Linked DNA regions of Macaca fascicularis. The protein of the gene in region 2 purifies or fractionates together with the protein of the main gene of each other region. This does not show direct contact. Links are inferred from orthologs where the notes say so. Each region holds a gene or a part of one and is shown on either strand. Other genes may lie near its edges. The genes, in order: STYX, FBXL12 and CUL1.

Evidence for each region.
Region 1: the proteins of FBXL12 (region 2) and STYX purify together in Homo sapiens (affinity purification with mass spectrometry; 4 studies listed by BioGRID and IntAct, with this or other methods). This does not show direct contact. The link is inferred for Macaca fascicularis from reciprocal best matches to the Homo sapiens genes FBXL12 and STYX.
Region 3: the proteins of FBXL12 (region 2) and CUL1 purify together in Homo sapiens (affinity purification with western blotting; 8 studies listed by BioGRID and IntAct, with this or other methods). This does not show direct contact. The link is inferred for Macaca fascicularis from reciprocal best matches to the Homo sapiens genes FBXL12 and CUL1.

What each region holds. Positions count from the first base shown.
Region 1 is NC_088381.1:120,556,617-120,562,848, forward strand, and holds the start of STYX (serine/threonine/tyrosine-interacting protein), read left to right. Parts: upstream 1-2,444; 5' UTR 2,445-2,757; coding exon 2,758-2,814; intron 2,815-6,232. UniProt on the Homo sapiens protein: Catalytically inactive phosphatase. Acts as a nuclear anchor for MAPK1/MAPK3 (ERK1/ERK2). Modulates cell-fate decisions and cell migration by spatiotemporal regulation of MAPK1/MAPK3 (ERK1/ERK2).
Region 2 is NC_088393.1:10,359,226-10,365,383, forward strand, and holds the start of FBXL12 (F-box/LRR-repeat protein 12), read right to left. Parts: upstream 3,838-6,158; 5' UTR 3,832-3,837; coding exon 3,746-3,831; intron 3,635-3,745; coding exon 3,562-3,634; intron 1-3,561. UniProt on the Homo sapiens protein: Substrate-recognition component of the SCF (SKP1-CUL1-F-box protein)-type E3 ubiquitin ligase complex.
Region 3 is NC_088377.1:190,441,255-190,446,690, reverse strand, and holds part of CUL1 (cullin-1), read right to left. Parts: intron 4,546-5,436; coding exon 4,428-4,545; intron 3,349-4,427; coding exon 3,272-3,348; intron 2,789-3,271; coding exon 2,657-2,788; intron 375-2,656; coding exon 282-374; intron 1-281. UniProt on the Homo sapiens protein: Core component of multiple cullin-RING-based SCF (SKP1-CUL1-F-box protein) E3 ubiquitin-protein ligase complexes, which mediate the ubiquitination of proteins involved in cell cycle progression, signal transduction and transcription.

The DNA.
Region 1 (6,232 bases), on a different chromosome or scaffold from region 2:
ATTAAAAGTATATGAATAAAAATATGAGTAACATCATAAAAATTAGTAATTCAACTTTTAAGATACAGAAGAAATTTGTATGTTTGTTAAAGCTGCATTTATTGCAGCAAGTTACAAAAGGAAGAGTGTTGAAGCTTTTCATATTTGCTGTGTGAGCATTTTGTAAAACATTGAAAGTTGTTTGAGATAGTGGTATAAGAAAGCATTTCTTATGACTTATTTTGTATCATTTGTTTTCCTCATCTAAAAAGTTGAATAAAATCTGTTTGATTTAGTTCTCCTACGTATATATTCTTGTCTTTTCTAAGAGTACATTTACTATGGTCCTTTAGGTTCTTTAGCAAGTAAACTATTTGATAACCCAGATGGATTGTGGATTTTTGAATATTATTTAAAAATAGTACCCATACTTGGTGTTCATAAGATCATCTTCTTAAATAAAACATGGATGTGTGGGTATGTCTATACTCCTCCTTCCAGATAGTATTTACCTATTCTTCATTTACTGTGATTAAGCTCATTGTTGATTAATTGAAAATATACATGCACATCCATAACGTTTTAAAGAGTATGATTCAATGGAATATTTGCTAATATGTGACTTAGTTTTCTTGGTTTATGTAAGATGATCGGTCCCTGTTGAGGATGTGAAGGTCTGGACTCTCTTCCAGGAAATATTATAACATACACACAATTTTGCATATACTGTACTTTCAGGAAATGTATTGTTTCCCAGGCTCATCCAAGGACTCTTTAGGTATCTATGGATACCTGGCTAACAGTGTATGATGTAGGGGATGTAGGAGTGTCAGAAATGTTCAAAACAAGATTTCTGTTACCTATACATGATTCTTTCTCGTATCATCTGGCAATAAAACTATAACAGTACACAAAGGAATCATTAGGCATAAATAGTTATTAAAGATGCTGGTGAAAAGAAAAGACAACTTCAGTTTCATAAACACTAAAGAACCAAAAATACATGACCTAGCTAATGACACAATAATTCTTCAAATTAAAAACTTCCTAGCAGGATATTATGTGCCTTTTTTTAATTTTAAAAGATGAAGAACAGTTAAAATAGTGATAGAGAAAATGGAGTGCTCAAGTTAGCCATCTAATACTCAAATTATACAGTTCTGTTTCTATGTGTTGGCAGTGCATTTTATGTGACAATATAAAAAGAATGTCAGGGGAGGTTTAAGTCAAATATCTACGTGATCTTTTCACTTATAATTTGCATTTAGTTAATGAGTAACTTGCCTTTTACCTTTGTGGCAGTGGTTGTTTTTTAAAGAATCAATTTGGTGTACAAATCCTTTCTTTTCTGTTTTTGAGAGAGTTTTGCTCTTGTTGTCCAGACTGGAGGGCAATGGCACTATCTCGGCTCACTGCAACCTCTGCATCCCGGGTTTAAGTGGTTCTCCTGCCTCAGCCTTCCAAATAGCTGGGATTACAGGCATAGGCCACCACACCCAGCTAATTTTTGTATTTTTAGTAGAGACGGGGTTTCTCCATGTTGGTCAGGCTGGTCTCAAACTCCCGACCTCAGGTGATCCGCCCACTTCAGCCTCCCAAAGTGCTGGGATTACAGGCGTGAGCCGCCGTGCCTGGTCCAAATCTTTTCATTGTGGGTTTACAGGCAAACGCCACCACGCCCAGGGAATTAAAAAAAGAAAGTTTTTGGGGGGGGGTGTCTTACTATTTTGCCCAGGCTGGCAAATTCCTTTTAAAATATATTAAAAGCCATGTGGTTTATTAATTTTATTTCAAAATATAATAATTAGTGGAATAAGCTTTACAGTATTATACACAATTTACTAAGTCAGCTATCAGTTCCTTTTTCTGATTTTTTTCAGTTGTCATTCTTGATATTTTCTAGGTAATCTAAACGGAGTCGTATTTTCAAGTACTCTTAAAATACTTTTAAGATTGTTAAAGCATTGAGCCGTTTAATTCTTTGCTTAAAGGTGATGGGTGTTTCATTTTCTGTATGGCACTACGTGATTTTAAATCGAACTCTTCATTTGGTTATAAACTCAGCATAGATTGTGCAGAATTTTGAGAGGGGAGAAACTATAGCTTTCCTTTCGGATGCCACTATCTGGTGGGTAGCAGGTTTTGCCTGTCTGTTCTTACGTTAAAGAAGGGCTCTACGTCCTGTCTGGAAAGGGCGGAGCTGGCTCGGACCGCCCCACTGCCTTTCCCAGGACCTTCACTCGTCCTGTCCCACCGCAGCCCCGCCTCCTCCACGCCGGGTGAGCCGTGGCCTAGCAGCAACCGAGGCTCCGCTCCCCCACCCCCCGGCGTCTGCGCTCTAGCGAAGGGGCGGAGCAGGGGTGGTGGCGCGCTGACACCTGGCGGCGGCGGAGGGCGGGCAGAAGGCGAACGTGGGCTGGGATTGGCTGAGGCGGCGCGGGTGGAGGGGGCGGGAGGGAGGCGGCGAGACGGTTGTCGGGCTGGTACCCGTGCTGGATCCTGGGCGGCCTGAGGGTTGCGGAGACTTTAGGGGAGGGAGACGGCAGCGGCATGGCGGCCGGGTGTAAAACGCCCGACCCTCCTCTTATCCGTCTTCGCCGCCGCCGCCGCTGGAGTCACTGGGACCCTCTAGTCTGCGTGTGTTAGTTTAAGCCCGCCGCCCGCCTGTGAGCCCTCCGCTCCGCCGGCCCTCCTTCCTTCCGCCGCCGCAGCCAGCCCAAGGGTCGGCCGGCTGTGTAACACTCTCCCACCCCACCCACCAGCCCGCGGGCCAGCACCATGGAGGACATGAAGCTGGAGTTCCCTTCCCTTCCACAGTGCAAGGAAGACGCAGAGGTGAGTCGGCCCCGTGGCTGCCATGCACAGGCCTCTCCCTGTGGCTCCGGCCGAGGGGCGATCCCAGTCCCCAACCGTCTTAGCCCCCACCTGCGCGGGCGCCCTGCCTCCTGAGGGCGTCCCGGGACCTCTGAGGCCGAGCAGTCGGCTCCAATCCCGACTGAGTTTCTCGTCCTTTCCAGACCCCGCGGAGGGACAGCGTTTGGTGTACTTACATTTGAGAAGAGGAAAAGCAATCCCTGAGTCCCTAGGCTTGGTTGGCATCCAGGACTGACCTGGAGTAAGATTCCTCTTTTATTGTCAAAGTAACTTGAAAGCGAAGTTGGTTTTAATCTCCTTTTGAGGAATGTCTGTGGTGTAAACGATTCACTTGTGGGACACATGGCCCCACATGCGGAGTAGACTCGGCGCCTGAAGTTTGGAAGCGCGCCTTCGAAAAGTTTCCCAAAGTTTTTTATTTTTAGACAAAGCTATGACCCGCACAATAAAGTGTCTCAAAGCTAGCTCATCTGAATCTGATAACTCTTAATCAGAAATCTCGACCTTTGGAGGAAAATTAATATTGAAAGTAAAATTCTATATACCTTTTCTCCTGGTTTCTAATTCGTGGCTATTTTTACTCCACCTTACATCCCTGCCTGCTGTTTCTATTCGGATTTTATTTTTCATCTGTTGCTAGTTTAACGTTTAACGACATTGCAGACTACTAAATTAGAATTTTCTGGAGGCTAAATTAACAAGACGAAGATACTCAGCTATGCTTTAGTAGGATTAAGAAAGAAAATGTAACATCGCTAGTTAAAAATACCTTTAAAGTAGTTGGGAAAAATGAAGCCCTATTTTTAGGAGACCATTCAGTTTATTCCGAATATTTATTCTATTGAGTATCTTCATTTGAGGTTCTTTTTTTTCTTGAGACGGAGTCTTGCTCTGTCACCAGGCTGGAGTGCTATGTGGTGCGATGTCGGTTCACTGCAACCTCCGCCTTCCGGGTTCAAGCGATTCTCTTGCCTCAGCCTCCCGAGTAGCTGGAACTACAGGCGCGCACCACCACGCCCAGCTAATTTTTGTATTTTTAGGGGAGACGGGTTTCACCATTTTGGCCAGGGCGGTCTCGATCTCTGGACCTTGTGATCCGCCCGCCTCGGTTTCCCAAAGTGCTGGGATTGCAGGTGTGAGCCACCGCGCCCGGCCTAGGTTCACATTTTTGTTTGGAGGGCGCTCTTGTGGTATTGATGCTTGACAATTACATTTGTTTTAAGAGTAGAGACTTTGTGACTGGGTATCACCATTGCAAAATGGAGTGCAGTGGTGCGATCTCAGTTCACTGCAGTCTCGAACTCCCATGCCCAAGCCATCCTTTGACCTCAGCCTCTCGAGTAGCTGGAACCACACCTGGCTTATTTTTATTTTATTTTTTTGTAGCGATAGGGTTGTTCCTTAGGCTGGTCTTGAACTCTTGGCCTCAAGATCCTCCCGCCTTGTCCTCCCAAAGTGTTAGGATTACAGGTGTGAGCCACCGCACCTGGCCCAAAACTATACTCTTTATTTTTTTTATTTTTTTATTTTTTTGAGACAGAGTTTCACTCTTGTTGCCCCAGGCTGGAGTGCAATGGCGCTCTCTCAGCCCACTGCAGCCTCCCCCTCGGGTCCTGGTTCAAGCAAGCAATTCTCCTGCCTCAGCCTCCCGAGTAGCTGGGACTACAGGCACCCGCTACCACGCCTGGCTAATTTTTTTTGTATTTTTAGTAGAGACGGGGTTTCGCCGTGTTGGCCAGGATGGTCTCAAACTCCTGACCTTGTGATCCGCCCGCCTTGGCCTCCCAAAGTGCTGGGATTACAGGCGTGAGCCACCGTGCCCGGCCAATTATACTCTTAAATAAGAAAAAAAGAGGTCATATTTAGGCTAGTTATAAAAATGAATTTATACTTAACATGCAATAATGTGAATGAAGAGTATGATTTTGTTTATTTGTTTGTTTATTTATTTATTTATTGAGACGGAGTTTCGCTCTTGTTGCCTAGGCTGGAATGCAGTGGCGCGATTTCCGCTCACCGCAACCTCCGCCTCCCGGGTTCAAAAGATTCTCCTGCCTCAGCTCCCTGAGTAGCTGGGATTACAGGTGCCCGCCACCACGCCCGTTTAATTTTTGTATTTTTAGTAGAGACGAGGTTTCACCATGTTGGCCATACTAGTCTCAGACACCTGACCTCAAGTGATCCGCCTACCTCAGCCTCCCAAAGGGCTGGGATTACAGGCTTGAGCTACCGTGAAGGAGTATACTTTTATATCCTCAAAATGATACAGTAATTTCAGCACTTAACTGCAAGCAACCTTACAAATAATGTAGAGGAGTCCCACATTCCAGGTGAAGAAATTGTACCTTACTGAAAATAAGTGATGTGCCAAATTAACAACACAGTAGCACAAAACACCAGGAGGACCTTGGCCTCCTAATTTATTGTTCTTTTTAATACACTTCAATTCTTCCCTGCCCTAATCTTAAAAATTCTAGTTTAAAAATTTCCCAGACTTTGCATTTAATCTGGTACTGTATATATCATTATGTATGCCTTATTCCTGCAAAACTGATAAATTCTTGGTGGGAATATACCTGTCTTTTCTGTGTGGGACTGTTGAAAACATACTCTTTTTCTGTGCTGCCAGATGTGTGGGGATTTTTCCATACCAAGCAGTTTTCCAGCAGGCATGAACTGAATGTCCCATAATTCAGTTCTGTCACGTATGTACCTAAAGTTAGTCAGATCCCACAGGTTAATGGCTCAGTCCCACAAGGGTGCCCCCAACCTCAGATGGTAACCACAAGTAGTAGGTTGTCACCTATACACTCCTGACTGACTGGAAATCAGGGTTCCCGTTACTCCCTCCTTGGTTCAGTTAACTTGCTAGAGTGGTTTACAGGACTCAAGGAAGTACATTTACGGGTTTATTATAAAGGATATTACAAAAGATCCAGTGAACAGACAGAAGGAAGAGATGAATAGGGCAAGGTATGGGGGAAGGGGCACAACACCATCCCCAGTATCACCAGTGAAGAGCCGTGATTGCAAGTTGTCCAGGTGCTTGGCGTTTTGAACAAAGAATTGGACAAAACTCCCAGCAAAGCAAAGACAGAATGAAGCAACAAAAGAACAAAAACAGGGATTTATTGAAAACAAAAGTACACTCCACAGTGTGGCAGCCGCCCTAGCAGCCCCACGCTTTACAGAATGTTCTTGGGTCCAAATACCCCCTAGAAGTTTCCCATTGGCCACTCCAAGCTTACCTCATGTAAATGAAGAGATGGCTTGCAGTTGGCCTGATTGGTTGCCAAACCCCCCACCTCCCGTCAGTCGGCTTCGTTGTGGACAGCAACCATTCAGTGGCTAGAGTGAAGTTACAAAGTTGCAAAGGAAG
Region 2 (6,158 bases):
GGAGGCGAAAGGCACTTCTTACGTAGCGGTGGCAAGAGAAAATGAGAAAGAAGGCCAGGTGCGGTGGCTCATGCCTGTAATCCCAGCACTTTGGAAGGCCGATGCGGGCAGATCACGAGGTCAGGAGATTGGGACCATCCTGGCCAACATGACGAAACCCCATCTCTACTAAAATACAAAAAAAAAATTAGCCAAGTGTGGTGGCACACGCCTGTAGTCCCAGCTACTTGAGAGGCTGAGGCAGGATAATTGCTTGAACACGGGAGGCAGAGGTTCCAGTGAGCCGAGATTGCACCACTGCACTCCAGCCTGGTGACAGAGCAAGACTCTGTCTCAAAGAAAAATAAATAAATAATTTAAAAAATACAAAAAATTAGCTTGGTGTGGTGGCACGCACCTGCAGTGCCAGGTACTCAGGAAGCTGAGGCAGGGGAATCGCTTGAACCCAGGAGGCAGAGGTTGCAGTGAGCCAAGATCGTGCCACTGCACTCCAGTCTGGCAACAGAGCAAGACTCCATCTCAAAAAAAAAAAAAAAAATTGAGAAAATGAGAACGAAGCAAAAGTGGAAACCCCTGATAAACCCATCAGATCTCGTGAGACTTATTCACTATCACAAGAATAGCATGCAAAAGACCAGCCCCTATGATTCAATTATCTCCCCCTGGGTCCCTCTCACAACATATGGGAATTCTGGGAAATAAAATTCAAGTTGAGATTTGGGTGGGGACACAGCCAATCCATATCATATCACCCCTGGTCCCTCCAAGTCTCATGTCCTCACATTTCACAACCAATCATGCTTTCCCAACAGTCTTCCAAAGTCTTAACTCATTCAGCATTAATCCAAAAGTCCACAATCCAAAGTCTCATCTGAGACAAGGCAAGTCCCTTCCACCTATGAGCCTGTAAAATCAAAAGCTAGCTAGTTACTTCCTAGATACAATGGGGGTACAGGTATCGGGTAAATGCAGCCATTCCAAATGGGAGAAACTGGACAAAACAAAGGGGTTCCCCCATGCAAGTCTGAAATCCAGTGGGGCAGTCAAATTTTAAAGCTCCAAAATGATCTCCTTTGATTCCAGGTCTCACATCCAGGTCACACTGATGCAAGAGGTGAGTTCCCATGGTCTTGGGCAGCTCGGCCCCTCGTGGCTTTACAAGGTATAGCCTCCCTCCCGGCTGCTTTCACAGGCTGGCGTTCAGTGTCTGAAGCTTTTCCAGGTGCATGGTGCAAGCTGTGGGTGGATCTACCATTCTGGAATCTGGAGGACAGTGGCCCTCTTCTCACAGCTCCACTAGGCAGTGCCCCAGTAGGGACTCTGTGTGGGGGCTCTGACCCCACATTTCCCTTCCACACTGCCCTAGCAGAGGCTCTCCATGAGGGCCCCACCCCTGTAGCAAACTTTTGCCTGGACATCCAGGCGTTTTCATACATCTTCTGAAATCTAGGCAGAAGTTCCCAAACTTCAATTCTTTTTTTTTTCTTTTTTTTTTTTTTTTGAGATGGAGTTTCGCTCTTGTCACCCAGGCTGGAGTGTAATGGCATGATCTCGACTCACTGCAACCTCTGCCTCCCGGGTTCAAGCGATTCTCCTGCCTCAGCCTCGCAAGTAGCTAGGATTACAAGCATGTGCCACCACGCATTTGTGGTATGTTTAGTAGAGATGGAGTTTCACCATGTTGGCCAGGCTGGTCTCAAACTCCTGACCTCAAGTGATCTGCCTGCCTTGGCATCCCAAAGTGCTGGGATTATAGGCGTGAGCCACCGTGCACGGCCCCGTACCTCAGTTCTTGGCTTCTGTGCACCAGCAGGCTCAAGATCACGTGGAAGTTGCCAAGACTTGGGGCTTCCACCCTCTGAGGCCACAGCCTGAGTTATACATTGGCCCCTTTCAGCCACAGCTGGAGCGGCTAGGACACAGGGCACCAAGTCCCAGGGTGCATGCAGCATGGGGGCCCTGGGCCCGGCCCAGGAAACCACTTTTCCCTCCTGGGCTTCCAGGCCTGAGATGAGAGGGGAATGCCATGAAGGTCTCTGACATGGCCTGGAGACATTTTCCCTATAGCCCATTAGACTCCTTGCTACTTATGTAAATTTCTACAGCTGGCTTGAATTTCTCCCTAGAAAATGGGTTTTTCTTTTCTATCACATAGTCAGGCTACAAATTTCCAAACTTTTCAGCTCTGCTTCCCTTAGAAAACTGAATACTTTTAACAGTACCCAAGTCACCTCTTGAATGCTTTGCTGCTTAGAAATTGAGAAGTTGAGATTTGGTTGGGGACACAGCCAAACTATATCATGAACCAAGAGAGAAAGAAACATGTTCTAATGAATCTTCTCAGGAAGCTGAGGCAGGAAGATCGCTTGAGCCCCGGAGGTTGAGGCTGCAGTGTGCTATCATTTCGCCACTGCACCCCAGCCTGGGTTACAGAGTGAGATCCATCTCAAAAAAATAAATTACAGAAAGATAAACTGCAGAGCATAAATGCACACAAAACCAATGGATGAATCAACTTTTCCTTGCAAAACCAATGACTGAGAATACTCTAAGTTTCATAATATCAGGCCAGGCGCTGTGGCTCACACCTGTAACCCCAACACTCCAGGAGACTTGAGGTGGGAGACAACTTGAGTCCAAGAGTTCGAGACCATCCTGAGCAACATAGCAAGACTGTCCTTAAAAAAATAACCTCAAAAGCAATACTGTATTAAAGGGAGTTACAGATGGATATATACAGTAAAATAGTCTAAAAGTAGAACACTATCTAAATAGTAGAACAGCATTACCTGAAGTTTAGAAATACATTACTAATACTATAATTGTTTATGGACACACACATATGAAGTAAGGTAAAAGGAAGGGTGCAAATCCACTTTATAATAGCAGTTATCTATGAAAATAGTTTCAAAAAGGGTAACAAATATATCTCTAAATGTTTTGGGTGGGCCAGTTGCGGTGGCTCATGCCTGTAATCTGAGCACTTTGGGAGGCTAAGTCGGGAGGATCACTTGAGCCCAGGAGTTCGAGACCAGCCTGGGCAACATAGTGAGACTCTGTCTCCACAAAAAATAAAAGATTAGCGGGTATAGTGGTGAGCGCCTGTGGTCCCAGCTACTCAAGAGGCTGACATGAGAGGATCGCTTGAGTTTGGGAGGTCGAGGCTACAATCGCACCACTGCACTCCAGCCTGAGCAGCAGAGCGAGACCCCCGTCTCAAAAACAAAACAAAAACTTGATAACATAGTCATAAATTAGCATTTATCGAATGATAAATATGTGCCAGACTGTTCTAAGCCCTTTCCCTGCATGATCTCAGTGAAGTCCCACAATAGTCCCGTGAGGCAGGTACTGTCCTTTATCCCCATTGCAGGGATGGGGAAATTGAGGCCCTGAGGTAGAATAGGAGCAGGTAAGCGATGATGCCGAGATAGGCCCAGGACTACCTGGCTCTAAATCCCCAGCCCGGGTACCGACAACCTGTCCCAGGGTGGGAGAGGTGGTCTTTCGGGTCCGGGCACCGCGACCGCGGCCCAGGCCCGCCTGGCCAGCCATGCCTACCGTGTAGAGCGTCAGGTCGACATGTCGCCACAGCCACCGGTCGTCCACCAGCCTCTTCCAGCGGTGACAGACCCTGGGGGAGGGGACGCGCGGTTAGAACGACCCCAGCCCCAGGCCACATCGCATCTCCAGGTCCCAGGTGCGCCCTCCGCCCGGCCCTTCCCCCCCGGAGGCGGGGCCGCACCTGGAGATGCGGATCCGGTCCCGTACCGGGAGGTAAGAGAAGATCTCAAGCAGGACTGAGTCCGGCAGTTCGACCAAAGTCGCCATGATCCCGCCGACACGCACTTCCGCTTCCGGTTAAGGAGACCCGAGGGGGTCCCCGCGGGGGCCCCGAGGCGGCTGACAGGGCGGCGGCCGCGACCTTCCCGTAGCCGGTAGAGGACTTTGACTTTCCTTTCGCTGGGCAGTGATTGGGTCCCAGGGCCGGACCAGCCGCGGATGGGGACCAGAAACCAGACTGGAAAGCGTGACTGAGGCAGTGAGAGTCTTGCGGGACGTGGCTGAGGCGTGATTTGGCCGCGACTGGGAACTAAGACCAAGTCCGCAAGGCGGGGCTGGAGTGAGGCGAAGCTCGGGGGCGGAGCTAGAGACGAGGACCAAGTCCGAAAGGCGTGGCTGGGGTGGGGCGAGTATCGGAGGTGGTGCTAGAGACGAGGACCGAGCCTGGAAGGCGTGGCTGGAGTTGGGCAAGGCTCAGGGACGGAGCCAGAGACCGGACCCAAGTCCGGAAGGCGGGGCTGGGGCGAGGTTAGGGGGCGGGGCTAGAGACGAGGACCAAGCCCGGAAGCCGGGGCGAGGCCTAGGTGGGGCTGCAGACGAGAACCACGCTTGGAAGGTGTGGCTAGGGCGGGACGAGGCTTGCGGGGCCGGGAGAGGACCGGACAACCGCTGGAAGGCGAGGCTGGGGCGGGACGAGACCCTGGGGGCGGGGATGGCGACAAGGACCTAGCCGAGAAGACGTAGTCGGGACTGCAAAGGACATGATTTCATTATCTTTTCTTTCTTTTTTTTTTTAATTTTGAGACAAGGTCTCGCTCTGTCACCCAGTCTGGAGTGCAGTGGCGAAATTACAGCTCACTGCAGCCTTAACCTCTGGGGCTCAAGTGATCCTTCCACCTCAATCTCCCGAGTAGCTGGGACTGTAGGGGCATGCCAACACGCCCGGCCAATTTTTGTTTCGTTTTTTGAGATGAAGTCTTGCTCTGTCACCCAGGCTGGAGTGCAGTGGCACAATCTCGGCTCACTGCAACCTCCGCCTCCCAGGTTCAAGTGATTCTCCTGCCTCAGCCTCCGGGGTAGCTGGGACTACAGGCGCCAGCCATTATGTCCGGCTAATTTTTGTATTTTTAGAGATGAGGTTTCACTATATTGGCCAGGCTGGTCTCGAACTTCTGACCTCAAGTGATCCACCTGCCTCAGCTTCCCAGAATGCTGGGATTACATGTGTGAGCCACCACGCCTGGCTAATTTTTGTATTTTTTTGTAGAGCCGGGGTTTTGCCACGTTGCTCAGGCTGGTCTTCAACTCCTGGGCTCAAGAGGTTCTTCCTGCTTCAGCCTCCCAAAGTGCTAGGATTACAGGCATGAGCCACCATGCCCAGCTGCTTGCATTCTTTTTTATGGCTGCATTATGTGTGTCTTCTTGGCTTGTTGCCTTCCTATTATCAGACTGAATTCTGGGGTGGCAGATGGGACTTGTGCACCCCAGCTCTGCTGAGGTGCTCAGATAGTGGGGGGAGGAAACTCCTATGCACCTGCCTCCACCCCTAAGATTACTTCCCTTCTTGTGAACTCTGGCAGGGGAAGGGGAGTTCCTTTAAGTTTGGCAGAACCCAGATGTCCCTTCCCCGCCATCCCCACTCAGTTACAGGGGGTTCCTGCACCACCAGCATACAGGGCTAGAGGGAGGGAAGTAGTCAGGTGAGAGAAAAAGAAACCCACATACAAGCCTTCCTCTGGACCAGGAACCCAGGAAACAAGAGTGTAGAAGGGGCCTGCCCAGCTTGCTCCTTGGGTCTTGACCCAAAACTTCACCTTCTGGAAAGTATCCCTCCCGCCCCCTGCCAAGGAAAGCAGCTCTGAGAACAGATCTTCCTACAGCAGGCCAGGTCTCCATGTGCAACCACAGCAGTGAGTCTTCACCAATACCTTGCAGTAGCTCTGATGAATGTGTAGCTACTCGGGAGGCTGAGGCAGGAGAATAGCGTGAACCCAGGAGGCGGAGCTTGCAGTGAGCCGAGATCGCACCACTGCATTCCAGCCTGGGCGACAAAGCAAGACTCCGTCTCAAAAAAAAAAAAAAAAAGAAAAAAATTAAAGACCTGGAGAAAGTGGGGCCTTCAAGCAAAAGCTAGAAGGTAAAACAAAGTCCTTAAGACCCCGCCTGGGTTTCCTCAGAACTTAAGAGTTCATTTAAAATAATGGAGACATTCTTACATACCTTGCAAACCTTGTACCAGGATCCACTTTATTTTTTTTTAATTTATTTTCTTTTCTTTATTATTTTGACACAGAGTTTTGCTCTCGTTGCCCAGGCTGGAGTGCAATGGCGCAATCTTGGCTCCCTGCAACCTCCGCCTCCCGGGTTCAATCGAT
Region 3 (5,436 bases), on a different chromosome or scaffold from region 2:
CAGCCTCGACCTCCCAGGCTCAAGTGATCCTCCCGCCTCAGCCTCCCAAGAAGCTGGGACTACAGGCACGTGCCACCATGCCTGGCTCAACACTGAGTTTTAAAATTAAGACTTTCATAATGCACATTAAAATCCTGGAATAAGAACATATTCATATTCATGAGGCAAACATCTATTTCAAATGAAAGATGCCCATATCCTCTCCCTTATCTTTCCTAACAATATCCGCGAGAACAAGGAAATGGCAGCTCGACAGAACGAAGAGGCTGAGAGGAGAATACCATTTTAATCTGGGTGCTGTCGGTCAGCTGTTGCACGGTGTAGGCATCCTCCGTGTTGTACTGAAGCAGGATGGCCATCTGGAATGTAGACGCCTTTGAGGCCCCCCATAGAAAAGAAAAAGAAGGAAAACTTAAATGCATGGAAACACCTCCAAAAATACATGGCCTAAGTTTGAAGAACTTATTTATGAAACACATTCTTTAAACAAGTACAAACAAAGCGCAGATCTATTTAAAAGGGAATATAAAACGTGGCAATGCCACCACAATGCGACATCTTCCCAAAGTCATTCATCTTCCATGTTTTCAAACATTAAAATAATTTGAAGTTTTTTCAAAAAATGTATTGTCTATGTGGATATATACTATAGATACGTATGTCCCCACTCGTTTTATAGCGAAAATCACATATACACACACCTGGTATATGTGGACATGTTAAGCATCAACCTCCAAATCTGTTTTTGGCACATGAGCTAAGAAGTATTATCTTTTGGCACATTCTTGATGTAAAACAACACAAATATCAAATTATATTTGGTTTTCTAATCCTAAGTACTTTACTATGAAAGTAGGAAAAAAGTAAGTAAAGTATGAAATGGCAAGTGCACTAAAGGTTTTCTTTTTTTGAGACAAAGTCTTGCTCTGTCACCCAGGCTGGAGTACAGTGGCACAATCTCAGCTCATTGCAACCTCTGCCTCCCAGGTTCAAGGGATTCTCCTGCCTCGGCCTCCCGAGTAGCTGGGACTATAGGCGAGCACCACCACGCCCAGCTAATTTTTGTATTTTTAGTAGAGATGGGGTTTCACCATGCTGGCCAGACTGGTCTCGAATCCCTGACCTTGTGATCTGCCCACCTCGGCCTCCCAAAGTGCTAGGATTACAGGCTGAGCCACTGTGCCCGGCCCTAAAGTATCTTCTAAAAGACAGGTAGCACGCGCTGGTTCCTGATTGCTGAGAGTGTGCGAGCGAATGAATGCCCCTGAAGACTCCTTCCTCTCTTCTCCCTCTTTCCTTGCAGAATCGACAGCAACAAGTAATGACCCATGACTGTCAGCCACTGCTCGCCCAGCCAAGACCTCAGTCAATGAAAAGAGAAACAAACAAAAAATGCCACATGCCCGTTTCAGGGGGGCCCACAGACAACAGCGCTTCCAGGGCCTTGAACAGAGACGCAAGGGAATGAGTGTGTTGCTAATGTCTTCTACTGGGCCCGCTCTTGGCTGCCTTAACATGGCAGACACACCCTAGGCAAAGCCTCCGCCTTGTCAAAAACTGGACACTGAAATTCCAGGTACTATAGTCGAACACATGGATTCTTCTACGAATATTTAGGGATAAATGAAACAAAATTTCAATTATATAGTAAGAAACATTCAACTTGATAAAGACCTCTCGAGCCAGCGTAACAATACTATGCATTTTAACAATTTTAAGTCAGAGTAGATTTATGAAAAGTTTAAATTAATGAGCAGCTTGAGCCTGCAGAACAACCCATTCTGAAGTTTCTTAATACTTAAACATAGACTTGTAGTTGTTCTCAGAAGTTTATTGGTGAAACCTTCTCAGAGACTAAATTATGCCATTACTTGTGAAGCCCACTCTGTACAAAAGTGAAGTAGAAAGAGCCTGGAGTTTTTTTTTCTTTTTACTTTAAAAAATTTATAGAGATGGGGTCTTGCTGTGTTGTCCAGGCTTGTCTCAAACTTCTAGCCTCAAGCGATTCTCTGGCCTCAGCCTCCCAAAGTGTTAGGATTACCAGCATGAGCCACCACATCAGCCAAGCCTGAACTTTAAGAGAAAAGACTTTAACTGAAATTTTGGCTCAGCTACAGATAAGCTAGGATTCAGAGAAATTCACTTCAATTAACCCAAGCCTCAGTTTTCTCACCTACAAAATGGAAATATTCTTAGTTACACAGTTATAAACTAGGTTATACTCAATATCGTTGTAAGCACTGTTGTTAATGTGAAACTGCTTTGTCAAAGGTGGAGAGCTGTTATAATTAAATGCACGCAACTCCAGCGTTTTAAGTCACTACCTGAACACTTGATGTGTGTCCGGCAGGAGCCGTGCCAAACACTTAACTAAATACGTTATTTAACTTTCACATCAATTCCCAAGTATAAGCACTAACATCCCATGAATGGAGGAGAAAACTGAGGCTCACAATCATTAAATAACTTGTTCCCCAGCCAGAAAGAATTGGAATTTGGCTCCTCTGATTCTTACAACTCCATGCTTTAAACTTGCCACTATTTCACCAGAAGCTGAATTCTAGATTCTGCTGCTGAGTCAACTGCTAATGATTTCTATAATTTACCTTATGCTCATTTAGAACAGAAACATTTTAAGACACAAACGTGATCTTACCTGCAAAGTATATCTGTTTTTGAAGCAGTTAGTTACCAATTCTCCTTTAGACAACTGATATAACCACGTCAATTTTCGGCCACTGTGGCGGCTGGCGTAGAAAGCTGTGAATCGCTGATAACTACGTTCCAACTAGATAAAAGGACAGCATTATATGGAATACAGATCTCACCACGTCCTACAGGCAGTGTTTCTAAGCAAAGCACACTGTTCCAAGCCTACAGTACAAAGTCAGTGCTTATATAAAAGTAAAATACGAACGCCAGGTGTCTGCCTCTCTTGTAAAGCGCTTTAAGCACTGGAAGGTACGATCTTAAAAAAGGTTCATACTTCAAGACCAGCAGGTTCGTCAAGGTGTTCATTACACAACTAATTAGGCTCTAATTACAATAAAGAAACATGTGTGTGTGTAGAGTTGGGCCAGCCAGCCCACCTTTAGACATCCAGACCTGCCCCACCGCACAGGGCTCTTCCCTGAGTGCTGCCTCACGGTTCACTGTGACGCAGCCAGCCGGCAGGAAGGCCGTCTGCAGGCCTATCCCCTTCCACAGCGAAGGCTGCCCCGCCCCACCCTCCGCCTAGCACTAAGGGGACGGCAGATAAACCCATCCTTACCTCTGACGGCAAGGCGAACGTACAAGACTGCTGGAAGGGCCAGGACCCGGAGCTCAGCACTTGAATGCTGAAGTCCACTGTGGGGCGGAAGAGAGGGGAGAGTGAACATTCTGGAATACATTAATTCGTTTATAAATTGAAAAATTCAATCATTTCAGATGAATGTAGGTTGCTCTTTATTAAAAAGCACATTAAATAAAAATCCTGCTTGAATATAAAATTAAGAATTGAACATTTTATTCAATTAAAATTAGCAAAAAGCGCAAGAGCCAGATATTCTTTTCTTCCAAAGAGTGACAGTCTTCATTTCGCTTCCACCTCGGAATTCTGCTGTCACATGCCTGCCCTGCTTCCCTTGCTTTCCTTTTCAGTCCTGAATCACTGAGTCCACTCAAGCCACGCCTGGGCTCGCCAGGCCCGGCATCATCACAGCCCCAGACTCATGGAAACTTACAAGCAGGAGAAAACTGCTAACTTCACTACAGTGTGTGTTTCAGTTATTACTGTGAAAAGACACACATGGTCTATAAATTATAACACTAATTTCATCTTCACAGATAGTTACAAAGCCCACTGGCAAAACTGTCCAGGTTTACAATGGAATCGTTATCCTGATTTGGGAAAAATAAAACTCTCCATTTTTCCTTTAAAAAGACAAAGATGATCAAAAGATGACGTAAGCATAAATCTGCCATTCTACTACTATGCGAGGCCTTAACATACCAGCCCAGCTGCCTCTCCTGGAGAACCGAATCACCTGTATCTGCCTGTACTGATCCCTAATCCCAGTCTGAAGCCACAGGTCTTTAGCTTGACTGTTACCTATGCAGGCCAAGGGAACATGAAAATAAACGCTAGAATGGATTCAAGCTAAGGTTTACTACAAGACAAAACCACGCCTGTGAGTCCCTCCCCAGATCCCAATAGGTGGTGACCTCGCCCCAGTACAGCTGACACCACTTCAGGGGCTGTCATCTCCTAATGTCACACGGGAGTTGGGGGAGGAGGGTTGGGCATTTGGGAAGAATCTCCTGATTCTTAGTTCTTGAATTTCTGACCAAAGTCCCTCCCATCTTCACCTAATACTTTGTCATTTCTTCATTTGCTACAAAGAACTCTGCCTGTAAACACAACAGACAGACACACGGATACTCACAGTCTAGGGGTTCAGAATTTGTCAAGTGCTTTTTGAACTGCTCATTCAGATCTTTGCTCACGCCAATGTCTTGAAACATGCGCTGAAGTTTAGAGGTGTACTCGAACCCGCAAGCTTGCTGAGAAGAACGCAGACGACTGTCTTATTAATTTGTACAAAAATATAAATGTATACAAGGGACTCTTAGAGAAATCAGAGTATACAATATATAATTATATGGAACTACTAGCAAAGCTAGTACCATTTTGCTCTATTTTACAGTACAAATATGCATGGATTAATACACTGTCGAAAACCCCACAACTCTCTGTTGCCCAGTGAAGTCTTTGCACACACAATTCACGCACAATTTATGAGCATCTAAGAGCAAGGCGTCCTGGCACTATGGTAGAATACAGTGATGAAATAATTTGTCTCTATCTCTTACCAGAAACTGAACTGTGTGCCCCCAAAATCCCTGTGTTGAAGCCCAAACCTCCAATGTGATGCTATGTGGAGGGATGAGGTCTTGAACGTGGGGCCTCACAACGGGACTGGTGTGCTTGTAAGAGACGCAGAGGAGCTCTGCACTCTCTCTGCCACGTGAGGCACTGCAAGAAGGTGGCTGCCTACACAGCCGGAAGAGGGCCCGCACCAGGAACCGAATCAGCAGGCACCCTGATCTCGGACTTGCAGCCTCCCGAATTGTGAGAAACAATTTCTGTTGTTTAAACCACCTGGTCTATGGTATTCTCTCACGGCAGCCCACGCTGACAAAGATACCCACATAATTTCGGGTCACAGTAAAATATGCTCCAAGTCAGATAAGAGCAGTCGACAGCGCTGACAAACAGGTGCGCAAAGGAGGTGGCGGAAGAAGAGCTGCCGACAGCAAAGCAACCAAGCCCAGAGCAAACAAAACCTCCACACAGCTCCAGGCCAGCACAATGTGAATGCGCTCCAAGGCCAAAGGTGTGAGAGGCAGGAGAGGCCCCACAGATGGTGAGCTGAGCCCAGCCAGGCCTGGGTA